3 linked regions of the Cricetulus griseus genome follow. The protein of the gene in region 2 interacts with the protein of the main gene of each other region in a pairwise test. Links are inferred from orthologs where the notes say so. Each region holds a gene or a part of one and is shown on either strand. Other genes may lie near its edges.

Evidence for each region. The genes of interacting proteins can lie anywhere in the genome.
Region 1: the proteins of Epas1 (region 2) and Arntl2 interact in binary tests that used the Homo sapiens proteins (3 or more experiments, as listed by UniProt). The link is inferred for Cricetulus griseus from reciprocal best matches to the Homo sapiens genes EPAS1 and BMAL2.
Region 3: the proteins of Epas1 (region 2) and Arntl interact in binary tests that used the Homo sapiens proteins (3 or more experiments, as listed by UniProt). The link is inferred for Cricetulus griseus from reciprocal best matches to the Homo sapiens genes EPAS1 and BMAL1.

What each region holds. Positions count from the first base shown.
Region 1 is NC_048601.1:2,917,031-2,921,062, forward strand, and holds part of Arntl2 (aryl hydrocarbon receptor nuclear translocator-like protein 2), read right to left. Parts: intron 3,169-4,032; exon of another isoform or gene 2,894-3,168; coding exon of another isoform or gene 2,826-2,893; intron 2,718-2,825; coding exon 2,560-2,717; intron 890-2,559; coding exon 810-889; intron 1-809. UniProt on the Homo sapiens protein: Transcriptional activator which forms a core component of the circadian clock.
Region 2 is NC_048598.1:88,387,302-88,391,836, reverse strand, and holds the start of Epas1 (endothelial PAS domain-containing protein 1), read right to left. Parts: upstream 3,117-4,535; 5' UTR 2,474-3,116; coding exon 2,448-2,473; intron 1-2,447.
Region 3 is NC_048596.1:87,395,496-87,399,527, forward strand, and holds part of Arntl (aryl hydrocarbon receptor nuclear translocator-like protein 1), read right to left. Parts: intron 2,377-4,032; coding exon 2,284-2,376; intron 902-2,283; exon of another isoform or gene 839-901; coding exon 721-838; intron 1-720. UniProt on the Homo sapiens protein: Transcriptional activator which forms a core component of the circadian clock.

The DNA.
Region 1 (4,032 bases), on a different chromosome or scaffold from region 2:
TTACCAGTTTCCAGCACCCACATCAGGTGATTCAAACTGCCGATAACCTGTGCTCTAAGAGATCTGTCTGTCCTCTGGGGCAGCTTCCCCTAACACACACACACACACACACGCATGAATAAAAAGTAAATCTTAAAGATTAAGCTAAAATAAGAGTAAGTTTTTTAAAGTGAAAAGAAAATGTTCTAGGTGGTGGTGGTGTACACCTTTAGTTCCAGCACTCAGGAGGCAGAGGCAGACAGATCTCTGTGAGTTTGAGGCCAGCCTGGTCTACAAATTGAGTTCCAGGTCAGTCAGAGCTATAGAGAAACCTTAACTCAAAATAAAAAAAGAGAAAAGAAAAAGAAAATGAAAAAAAGGAAAAGAAAAGAAAGAAAGATGAACAAAATGAACAACACATACCTATGTCATAGTGCATGGCAAAACTATCAATCAAACACCAATTTTCTGCTGTGGGGTCTGCAAAGCCCCGGCCTGTGAGAAGATGAGGCCACAACAGGAGAACTCTGAATGAATCATTCCCTAGTCTCCAGGTGACAGATCCCTTATAACTGGACTCCAGGTGGGTGGCACTGAGGAGGTGGTGCCCATGGTTGATCCTTGGATTGTGTGTGGGGGTATCTTAAGTGTGAGGGGGTCTGCAATGGAGATGTCCATTGCTCTTCCAAACTAATGAGGCATTAGTACACAAGGTTATTTCCTTATCTCCAATGTCTAATTTAAGGAATGTGAGACACAGACTCTCTGATGGCTACAATAGAGGTGAACTGAAATCCTGCTCCCATCCGAATCCAAGTACAGCCACTTACCTTGAGGATTAAGTGACTGAGCTCCTTATCCTGAATAAATGAAGGCCTAGAATTTTCTCCTAAGAAAGACTCTGTCATGCCTAAAAACAAATAGGCCAAAGTTACTGAGAGCACAGAGAAAGAAATTCAGTAATTGCTCAGTGGACACCGTCCATGAGCTGCTGCGGCTATTACAATGACGGCGCAGTGGTGTTCGCAACATCTGGGGACTCTTGGGACCCTTCCCTCCCTCCCCTTCCTTCCTCCCCTCCCTCTTTTCTTCCTTTTTTTGTTAAATAGGGCCTCCTATATTCTGGGCTGGCTTTGAACTCACTATGTAGCCCAGGACGACTTTGAACTCCTGATCTTCCTGCCCCACTTCCCAAGAGCTTGGATTACAGGTGTGTGCCACCACACCCGGTTTATGTGACACTGAGACTCCAACCCAGAGTTTCACAGGCTACTCTCTGCCTGTTGTGTCTATAACACAGTCCATAGGCACCCTCTGAAGTTTGGTGTCTAAGGTTTTGCCGAACCAATACAGCTGTGCTGTGCCAAACACACTGGAGCACAGAACCAAGTGTCTTAAGCCATCTTCACTAATGTGCTGTGCTGACTCAGGCTTGGTCAGGCTGTGTAGACAAGCAGCTGACCACATGATGGCTGAGAAGGGGTGTGGCACCAGATACATCAGCCCCTGGAAATGGCAATGGATTTAGAGAGTGTCTGCCCTGCTCAGTTCCCATAGTTCCTCCCAGCACACACCTCTGCTGGGACACATACCACACTAGGGGTTGTGTTGTTATATTTAAAACATTTTTTATTTATTCATGGGGGGATCAGTTCTCTCCTCCTACCATGTGGGTCTCAGGGACCAAACTCAGGTTGTCAGGCTTGTTGACAAGCAACTTTACCCGCTGAGCCATCTCACTGTCCCCACACCAGGGGACAATGACCTCACTGTGAGTCTACCCTCTTGTCAACAGAGACATCCAAAGGGCAGAGATTTTGCGCCTCTCTCTCTCTCTCTCTCTCTCTCTCTCTCTCTCTCTCTCTCTCTCTCTCTCTCCTCTCCTGTCCTCTCCTTTCTCTTAGTAGAGAATAGGTTTATAGCTGGTGTTCAATTCATATGTGTTGAATTAGCTGACTGACTCATGCCCCTGGGACAAGGCTAATATTAAGGTCCTTGGGTAATCTCTGGGATGGAATCAAATGACCCTGGTGTAGCCTGGAATTTCATTGCTAAAGATTCAAGAGAAACCAAGTAACTTATGCAAGCCTCAGGAGTGGGTAAAAGAGACTCTTGTTTCTCAACAGACTGATGGAACGAACCCAGATCTCTAAGCACAGAAAAGGAAGTCCCAGAGAGCTCTGCTCTCTCCTGCATCCCCAGTCTGGGAAGATTGTTGTCAGGGTCCACAGAACACCCTGTTCTCTGAAACTCTTGCTCTGTGCTTGGCTTTACAGGCAGAGATCTAGAAAGGAACCACAAGGTGGCAGTGTGTATCCGTTTTATACTTTGTTTGCTTTGAGACAAGGACTCATGTAGCCCAGGCTGGCCTTGAGCTCCTAATCTGCTGGTCTACACCTTCATGTTGGGGTTTTTAGTGTCTGACAGCCTATCTTCTCACATGAAGGCAAGGAGTACAATTTTGCATGGTCATGGTAAGGCGGACAGACATATCATAGCCAGGACCAACCACAGAGTTAACAGAGCTCTCTGATAAAGAGATGATGTCAATAGCCTGAGACAGCTCTCATCCTTACTTACCTCTCAGAGACCTCAAGTACTGCACTGCCCTCCTCAGGACGCTGAGCTTGTCCAGTTTTCGGGCAGCGGGGCTGAGTGGAGGGATCACAGATGACAGCTCCTGAATCAGATGGTTCATCTTGTCTCTCCGCCGCTTCTCCATCTGGCTGTGAGCTTCCCTGGGAGGGAGAAAGAACATCCTTGGCTAATGTTCACCCCGTTGCCCAGAGGCACTAGGGGTGCAGGACCCATGGCTCTCAGGATGCTCTTACAGCAGCTGCACTTACGTGAGAAGCTGGCGCCTCTGGGGAAAGTGCTTGTGAAAGCACCCACCACATCCAGCGGCTTTGACCATGAACTTCCTGAGCTAAGACATCTGTGGTCTACGGGCTGTGGTTTCCTCCCTCTCCGCTGTGGGACAGTGAGTGGCCTCTTCTCATTAGAGGTGACCTGAAACTTGCACAGCTGTTGCCCTTACTTCATCCCCCTCCAGCTCCAGACTGTGTCCAAAAGTGCTGGAGCCCTGTTCTGAAAGACACAGCGCTGATTCTGGTACTGTTGCTGTGGTTTTTGATGCTAAGTCTTCCGTTTCCAACTGGTTTTCCCTGAAAGCACGTGGTCTCCACTGAAGCTTCTCCATGTTTAAAATCATGTACTCTGGAGACTTGTGCAGGAAAACCACTGAGAGTTCAAGGCCCGCCTGAGTTATGCATCAAGACCCTCTCTCCAAAGCACAAGGCAAAGAAAAGCCTACACTTCTGCCCATTCTAGGAAGCGTTTTACAGTTTCTGTTTCATTATGATGACTATCATCACCATCAACACCACCATTATCACCATCATCACCCTCATCACCACCATCATCACCATCATCACCACCATCACCATCATCATCACCATCATCACCATCATCACCATCACCATCATCACCATCATCATCATCATCACCATCATCATCATCATCACCATCACCATCACCACCATCACCATCACCATCACCATCATCATCACCATCACATCATCACCATCACCATCATCACCATCATCACCATCATCACCATCATCACCATCACCATCATCACCATCATCATCACCATCATCACCATCACCATCATCACCATCATCACCATCACCATCATCATCACCATCACCATCATCACCACCATCATCATCACCATCATCATCACCATCACCATCATCATCACCATCACCATCATCATCACCATCACCATCATCACCATCATCATCACCATCATCACCATCACCATCATCACCACCATCACCATCACCATCATCACCATCATCATCACCATCACCATCATCATCACCATCACCATCATCACCATCATCATCACCATCATCATCACCATCACCATCATCACCATCATCACCATCATCACCATCATCACCATCATCATCACCATCATCATCATCACCATCATCACCATCATCACCATCATCATCACCATCATCACCATCACCTATGTCTCCTTAG
Region 2 (4,535 bases):
GTTTCATTTTCCAGCCAGCATGAGAAGCTAGCGGCAGTCTGGAAACTTGAAGGTCCAGGTGTCTCCATTCCTTGGGTACCCTTGCCCTGGCATCAAGTACCAGAATACTGCTGAAAGGTACTTAGACTAGAGTCTGGCTTAGGGCCTGGACTTGGATTCCTGGCCATCCTGGGACCCGGCTTCTATTTATCTTAATTGCTCTGCCCTGCAAATCTCCACTTGAGCACATCCATACTTAGCTCTTCCCAGAGTCAGGAACCTTGGAAGACTGGTGAGACCTCTGCTTCATCTAAACTCAATAGAGCTGGACATGGTTCCCTCTGTCAAAGCCTGTTAGCCAGCCAACAATGAAAAGGCTTGCTCTTAATTGTTATGGATTAGTATATACAGGGATGCCTGGGAATAGAAACAATCCTTCTGGATTCTTGAGGGGCTGTTTCTAGAATGAAAAATGTTCAATTATATTCTAGAGAAGAAACAGCTCTTAAACCAATAAAAATACAAATCTTTCAGGAAACCCTGCAGCTCACAACAATTTCGTGAGGCATTCAATGCCCTGCTTCACAATTTTTAAATACATCTCGATGCTCTAAGAAGCCAGCCAATATAACCAGAGTCTCAATGCCATTGGCCTAACAGGCATTGGGCAGTGAGGGAACTTGCACAAGGCTTGCCCTGCCTTACCTTAACACACGCAAAATCCCTGCTGGGCTACCACTAGGGAGCTGCACACCCGCAGCGGCCTCCTAGGAGGTTCACAGGCCAGCGTGTTTCACTGGTTCTTAAAGCGGCCGCTTGCACTCATCGGTAATTTGTAGTGTTATTATGCAACTGTCTTCCTGTTCCTACTGGGGCTCCCCGCACCCTCCAACAGCCCTCTGCTAAGGAGGCTTCTGTAAGTCGGGTATGGAAGCAGCTTTTCCCATGATTGGTAGACCTAAGAGCAAGATGACACTTCACACCGATTACCATCAGGCCTCATCTGTACAAATGCGACAGTCACCCATAGGCACCGCAGGAATAAAAAGTTCAGTAAGTTCCCCTGGCGGCTCTGGGCTGTCTGACTTCGCGGTTTTGATTATGACTGCATTCTGATTGCCTTTACAGCTTGAGTCTTTTCCCTTGCTTGTATAACCTCAAAGGACACAGCACCCCAGAGCTGTTTGGTGGGCAACAACGGGGAATCTAGAACCCGACTCAATACCTTCCCCCTAGAGATCCGTCAGCGCACGGTGCGGGCGCCTGGCCAGGACGGGTGCGATTCGCTCGTTTATCAAATCCTTATCGGTGCCCTGAGGTGGGAGCTGTCGCTTTCGACCAGAGGATACACTGTTCCTGGCTCGGGTCCCTAAGTGGAAGTCCAAACAAAAGCCAGTCTGCTCTGGGGCCGAGTCCTCAGCGCAGTCCTTTCCATCCTGCCTGCGGATCTCCCGCGCGGCCCGCGCCACTCTGACATCCTGCGTTCGATTCCAGCCACCCTAGCCAAGTAGCCGCTGAGCCCAGTGTTAGACGCTCTAGCCCAAAAGGCTCGCACCGGTCGAAACAGGAGCAAAGGGCCAGGCGACTAGCCACAAACTTTTGCAGGAGGCGAGGGTGTACCCAGGGCTGCGCGGCAGCGTGGTGCGCTCGCACCCAGGCTCTGAGAGAGCCCTGCCGGTGTCGCCTGATCCGGGGCGGATTGAAGGAGACACTAGGGCAGCGCGAGTTGGCCGGAGTTGCCTCTCACCCAGTGCGGAAAGATTCGCGAGGACAGGCCTTCGTGGTTGCCCTTCTCTGTCTTCTTCAGACACTCGGAGAGGTCCGGTGTCGCCGTCCTCTCTCTGCACACTAAGACACCTGCCCCCGCAGGGCAATCCAGGTCACTACCCACTCTCTGGTGGAGTCCAGATGCAGGGCGAGGGAAGGGGGTGTTCTAAAACTTGAGTGCCTTCAGGAGCAGGGCACTTGGCCGTGTTCCGGCTCCTGGGGCCAGGAAGCGCCCCCGAGTTGCGCTTTGCCCTCTGTCCCTTACTAGTTTGGGGCGCGGAGCCCGCAAAGGAGAGCTCTCGGAAAGACCTGAAGGGGTCTTAGGAAAAGAAAGGCGTGTCTGCTCAGCAGGTAAACCCTGAGAAAGTCGAGGGCATCAGCCCAGAAACATTTCAAACCCCAGAGCTTGGTGTTCTGGGGACGACAGACTTTGGAAGGCGCCGCGGAAGCACCCCTGACCTCCAGGGCCACCTCTCTGTGACTCAAGGTCTCAGAACGATCGGGTTCGCGACTTTGTTGTGAAGCGGCAGCTGCGCGTCCGTAAAGTCCGCACCTGCTCGCTCACCCACCCACCCACCGCCACCTCCAGAGCGGTCCCCCGGCCTCCGAGACCTCCCGCAACTGTCCCGGGTCGCGCCCGCCTCGCGCGGTTCCGCCACTGCCTGGCACTGAGTTGGTCGCCGGTTCCGACGCCCGCTTACCTTTTCTTCTCCTTGTCAGCTGTCATTGTTGCAGTGTCCCTCCGAGACCCGGAGCACCTGGGTTCCTTAGGCCGGTAGGGGCTGCAGCCGCTGCCTTAGCTGTGGCCCTCGGCGGCTCTCTGTCGCCCCGGCAGGTGTGAAAGGTCTTTAGTGCTCGCAGGTCCGAGTGTCCCGCACAATCAGGTGGAAGTTTGGCGGACGCCTGGCTAGGTGCGGAGGAGGAGGAGGGAGGAGAGGGGTGGCGGGGAGGAACCTGTAGGAGGAGGCGGGGCCGGGGAAAGGAGTGGGAGGAGGTTGTAAGACGCCAAAGGAGAGAGCAGAGACAAGGGACCTGAAGTTCCGTTTATCCGCAAACAGGAGTCAGTTTTCTGGGATGTCACAAAACAAAACCAACCAGCCAACAAACAAAAACAGTGGCTCAAAGAGAGCGAGTTGGAAAGAATCCGGGGCCAGGCGAGTGCGGCCGCTGAGATGACCATACAGTCTCAGGACACTGCCGAGGATTGTACGGCCGCCTCAGGAGAGCTGGAGCGGAACGCTGGAGACTCCGAAGCTGTGCACCGGCCGCTCTCGAATGTCCGGTTTCCTCGGCTGCCAGCCCACTTTAAAAACTCGGACGGCCCGCCCGCGGGAGGGCGCGAGGGGCGCGGGAGTCCCAACAGCGGCCCGGGGGCGGGGCCGGGGTGGGGAATGGGCGGGGCCGGGGCGGGGAGACAGACAAGCTCCGCCCCTACCCGCTGGCTGCCTCGTCCCGGCCAATGAGGAGGCGCCGGCACAGCCTCTGCCCTCACCCGGGACCGCCCCTTTCTCTCCGGCTGAGCTCCTCCCTAGCTCGCCCAGCCCTGCCTCCTCCTTCCGCAGATCAGCACTTGTTTTTGTGGTACTCTCAGCGCCGGGCTGAGTAGTGGAAGGGGTCGGCTACCCGAGCCCAGAGAGTGACTTCGCTCCAGGGTCCTCTCAGTAGCACATTTCCCTGAACCAGGGCAGGACCGCGGGGTCGGGGTGGGGTGGGGGGGGTCCCACGCGCAGCGGAGGCGTGAGCCGCACTCACAGGTGCTGCTATGCGTCCCTGCCCCAGCTGTGCGGCTTCCCCTGACAGGTGGGAATAATTCCCAGGACTCCGACTGCAGTGCTGCTTGCCAGCCTGGGTGGTGCGCTCTTTTTGGCGAAGCGCAGCTGACCTTGACTTCTGAGTCCCGAGAGGCAGGAGGGGGAAAAGGTGTGGGAGAAAATGTGACAAAAATAAAATTATTTAGGGTTGCTCCTGCGGTGTCTTTTTCTCTACCAGTTTGTGGGTTGTTTGAGGTGCTTGTGGTCGGCTGTTAGGTTATGGCGCATACTAGAGAAGAGGGCCTTGGAGTTCTCCGGCCTGCCTTTGCCAGGCCTCAATAAATAAGCCAGCATCACCATGGGTTCCCTGGTGTGATCTTGGGGGTGAGCGTTGATAGCACACCCCAAGTCACTGGATCTGCCCGCCCTCTTGGGCTCCAGGGTTATCGAATAATAACACCACCTTCAGGAAGTGATGGATCTAAAGTCCCTCACGAGCAGGCAGAGAGCTCTTTTGGCCTTTTCCACTTGTGAGGTGCTCCTGCCCTGACACTTTCCCATTTCCTAATTAGGTGATCCAAGGGGAGATCTCCAGAAGGAACAAGCGAAGACTGGGAAAAAGGCCCATGAGCTTCACATGTGTGACTTACCCAGAAAGCAAGCAACTGCAAAGTGAGCTGTCCTGGGACCCAAATCCAGTACGCACTGCATTACTCTCTCACCAACGTTTCTTAGTAAAATTATAAGCAGAAACCCGGTGTGTGTTGCTGCGGGGGGGGGGGGGGGGACACGGATCTTGAGTTTGTGTAGGTACACAGGAAGAGAGGCACTTTTCAGGCATTTTCCCAGAGACTTGGGAAGGTATCTGAAGGAACCAGGAGAGCAGGGAAATCAGAAACGATAGACACTCTCCTTGAGAACTTGGAAATCAATCCACATACCTGACCGTGATCTCAAAGATCATTCATTTGTTTCACTCAAAGAAACTGGTGGGTGATTTCCTACAGCACTTCTCCATCCAGACAACACTGCCAGACT
Region 3 (4,032 bases), on a different chromosome or scaffold from region 2:
ACGGCAGGATGTGTGCCTAACCTCCCCTGGGTCATGACCTGGGAACAAGGGCTGGGGCTAGAGAAATGCTGATCCCAGGCTGCAGAAAGTGTGGAGCCAAGAAACATTGGTTTTTGTTTGTTTTTGGAGACAAGGGTTTCTCTGTGTAACAGCTCTGGCTGTTCTGGAACTTGCTTTGTAGATAGACCCAGGCTGGCCTCGAACTCACAGAGATCCACCTGCCTCTACTTCCTGAGGCTGAGATTAAAGGCATGCACCACCACCATCTGGCTGAAACAGTAGCATTTTATGTGTTCTTAGGCTTATCATCTGAGGCTGCATGAGTGCAACGAGGTGAGGGGAGGGAGGAAGAGGAAAGGGGAGAGGGAGAGGGAGAAGGAGAGAGAGAGAGATTTGTTCTGGGAGAACAAGACAGTGTGAGCCCTTTCATCTAGGAAGTTCTAGATTCTGTAAAAAATGACCAGAATCAAGTCAAAGTTCCTTCTTCCACTAAGTCTGGACACTGAAACTTCTCTTCTCTATGTAGACTACAAAGTAAACAAAGCAAGTGACTGTAAATGTGTCCAGTTAGCCACAGCAAGCAGCTATCATGAAGAAAAAAGGCAGGGAGGTAAGAAGACAGAGTGGGCCCCAGGAACCTGTCTGTGTACCTGGGCATTGGTGGGGCAGTGCGGGGCAGTGTGAGGTGATGAGGAAGCATACAGCCTCCCCTGCACTCACTCTTTGCGTCAATGAGTCGCTCCCGGGGTGCGGTGTCTGAGGAAGATAGCTGTTCCTTGACTTTGGCAATATCTTTAGGGTGCAGATAGTCAAACAAACTCTGGCCAATAAGGTCATTCTGTGGGGATGAAATGTGAATGGACAAGTCAGCACCAGCGACATGTGGAAGACACAGCAGTACTCACAGTCTATATGGCCCTGGCCTCCACTGTGTTCTTAAGTCAAACATCTCAAGCGTTCACGGGACCCTGAACACGTCCAGCCCTTTGCATGGATAGACACCCCAAACAGACACACGTCCAACACTCCTGAGTTCCCCAGTAGACCTTAAAAAGAAAAACCACAGAGACTGGGCTATCTCCAGCTCTGACATTAAGCCTCTTGATTATTTGTTGAGGGGTTATTGTTTGTTTTGACATAGAATTTCCCTGTGTAGCCCCACCTTTCCTGGGACTCTATTTGGTTCAGGCTGTCCTCAAATTCTTCCTATCTCAGCTACCTGAATGTTAGGGTAAGTGCAGAGCCCAACTAGCCAAGTCCTATCTTTGGATGCTTTCGTCACCTATATCCACTCACAGAGACTACAAACCTTCCTTAATAAGTGCCCTGAGGAAAAAAAATTAAAGAGTAAAGCATCTTGGGAAAGCTAAATTTACATGAATTCTCATTTATAGATATGCCATTTTGATTAAAACCGTCTGCCTACCATGCTTCCATGCAACTTCCAAGATGTAAATGAGTAAATGGATTAACAAATATTCTGAGGACACAATAGGTGAAATGATTATTCTAGAAGCTTTCATGTGCTCCTCTTATTTAATCCTACAGGCAATCTAAAAATCTGTGTAGGACAGTTAATGTTAACAGAATCTAGAATCCCCTGAAAGATGGGCATATGGGCACGCTTGCTAGGGGTAACTGGTGTGGGGCAACCCACCCACTGAGCCAAGCCCATTCCCTGACTGAGATCCTGGATCGAATAAACGGAGAATGGGAGGTGGGGCTTGCATGCACCCATTGCTTGCTCTTTCTTAAAGGTGGATGTGATGTGACCAGCTGCCTAAGGCCCCTGATGGACTGTAACCTCCACCTGATCTGCAATAAACCCTTTCACCCTTGTGTTGACTTCTGTCAGTGTGTTTTATAACAAGACAAGAAACTAAGGCCACCTGGTCATTATTATTAATGTGTAGAGGATGCCAAGGCTCACAGAGCATCGTAGCACTGTGGGGTAAGTTTCCAAGATTCTTATTCTTGGGTATTGAATTCTCCCTTGTCAGACAGCCTTACTCCCCACTCCTAGTCCACAGACATGGGATCTTCATTTTGTAGCAATAAGAAAACAAACTGTTGGTTGGGTCAGAGTCAGATATTCCAGTTGGGGAAATAGAGGACCCATTAAAATTCTTCCTAAGTCTAAATTCCTTTCTCCATTAAGAAGTTAAGAATTTCTGGAAGAAGGGTATCACCTGTGGTCCATATAGTTTAATTCTTCTGAAAAACTGGGGTTTTATCTCTCACTACCATAAAGCTGGTGGCTGCTAGCATGGGCTCGAAGGTTACCTGGCTATAATTGAGGATCTTGAAGACGGACTCAGAGACGAAGAGGATCTTCCCTCTGTCACATCCTACGACAAACAAAAATCCATCTGCTGCCTAATCAGGAGAAATGGATAATCAATTTATCACAGGTCAGGATACAGGATCTGAAAGTAAATCAGGGATTCGTTTTCTAAGTCTCCAATGCCTGGAGTCACGCACTGACACCTTCACTGGTGGTAGAGAAAGAGGATGCTTAGCGACAATACTATATGAAAGCAGTAAGATCCCCTCTCAGGCAGCTATAGATTCCATGTCATCTAATGATCAGAGGGGAAAGGTCAATTAAATAAAGTCTGTTTCAGAACGAATTCAGCTTAAACATAATCTGGTTGTCTGACAGGCCAGAGTATTATGCTTCAGTACTCTAATTATATACAGTCCCTCTGCCCCAATCAACTTCAGCTCTCAACGTGACAGTCTGGAGCCACCCAGGAAGAGTCTTTTTTTTTTTTTTAAGATTTATCTATCATATATACAATGTTCTGCCTGCACGCCAGAAAAGAACACCAGATCTCATTATAGATGGCTGTGAGCCACCATGTGGTTGCTGGGAATTGAACTCAGGACCTCTGGAAGAACAGCCAGTGTTCTTAACCCCTGAGCCATCTCTCCAGCCCGCAGGAAGAGAGTCTTAAGGAGGAATTATGTTGATCAGATTGACCTGTGGGCATTTCTGTCTGTTGGAGCAACACCATTCCTTAGGTAGAAGGTCCTCAACAGTATAAGAGAGGAGAAAAACTGAGCAAGCAGGCAGGCAGGGACTTGTGCATTTATTCTCTTTGTTTCTGACTACAACTTGCAAGGATCCATGCATTACTCTCTCTCACTGCTCCTAACTGTGGATGCAGTGCTTAAAGCCTGCCTTCACTTCCCTGTAATGGACCAAGGAGTTGGAAGTGTGAGCCAAATAAGCTCTTCCTTACATACTCACTTTTCGCCAGGGTATTTTTATCAGCTACATCCTCATTCACAGGGAGTTTGGGGTTTTGCTAATGGCCTGGCAGGAAGATGGGTCACTTGTGTTCCTTTAAACATCCCCTGCATTGTGCAGTGTTCCATTACACTGTGTGAAGATGTGTCACTGTGACTGGTTTAATAAAAAGATGAATGGCCAATAACTAGGCAGGAAGAGGTACAGGGCAGAGAGATAACTCTGGGAAGAATAAGGAGTCCACCAGCCAGATGCAGAGGGAACAGACATGCAGGAGGAAAGATAAAAGCCATGAGTCACATGGCAGCATGAAGATTAATGGGTTAATTTAAACTATAAGACTGAGTTAGAAACAAGCTATTGGCCAAGCTTTCATAATTCATAATAAGTTTCTGTGTCATTATTGGTGAGCTGACAACCCAAAGAAAAACCTAACTACATCCCTCCTTCCTGTGCGTGTGCCCAAATACACAAACACAGTTCAAATATATGTAGGTTCAGGAACTACTGCCCTCAACCATTTACATCTCCATCCAAAGCTAAGTTATCTGTTGTAAGAAAAACAAAGTGATAGTGATGATGAGATGCTTGCCTGGTAGGCATGAGGCCCTGGGTTCGAGTCCTACTTACACACACACACACACACACACACACACACACAAAAAAAAAAAAAAAAAAAAAAAACTTCATCATGAAATTCTTCCTAGTCCTTCTTCAATTTAAATACAGTGAAATCTAAAGTGCCAACAAAGACCAGAATGGAAACAAGCCATCTGCTG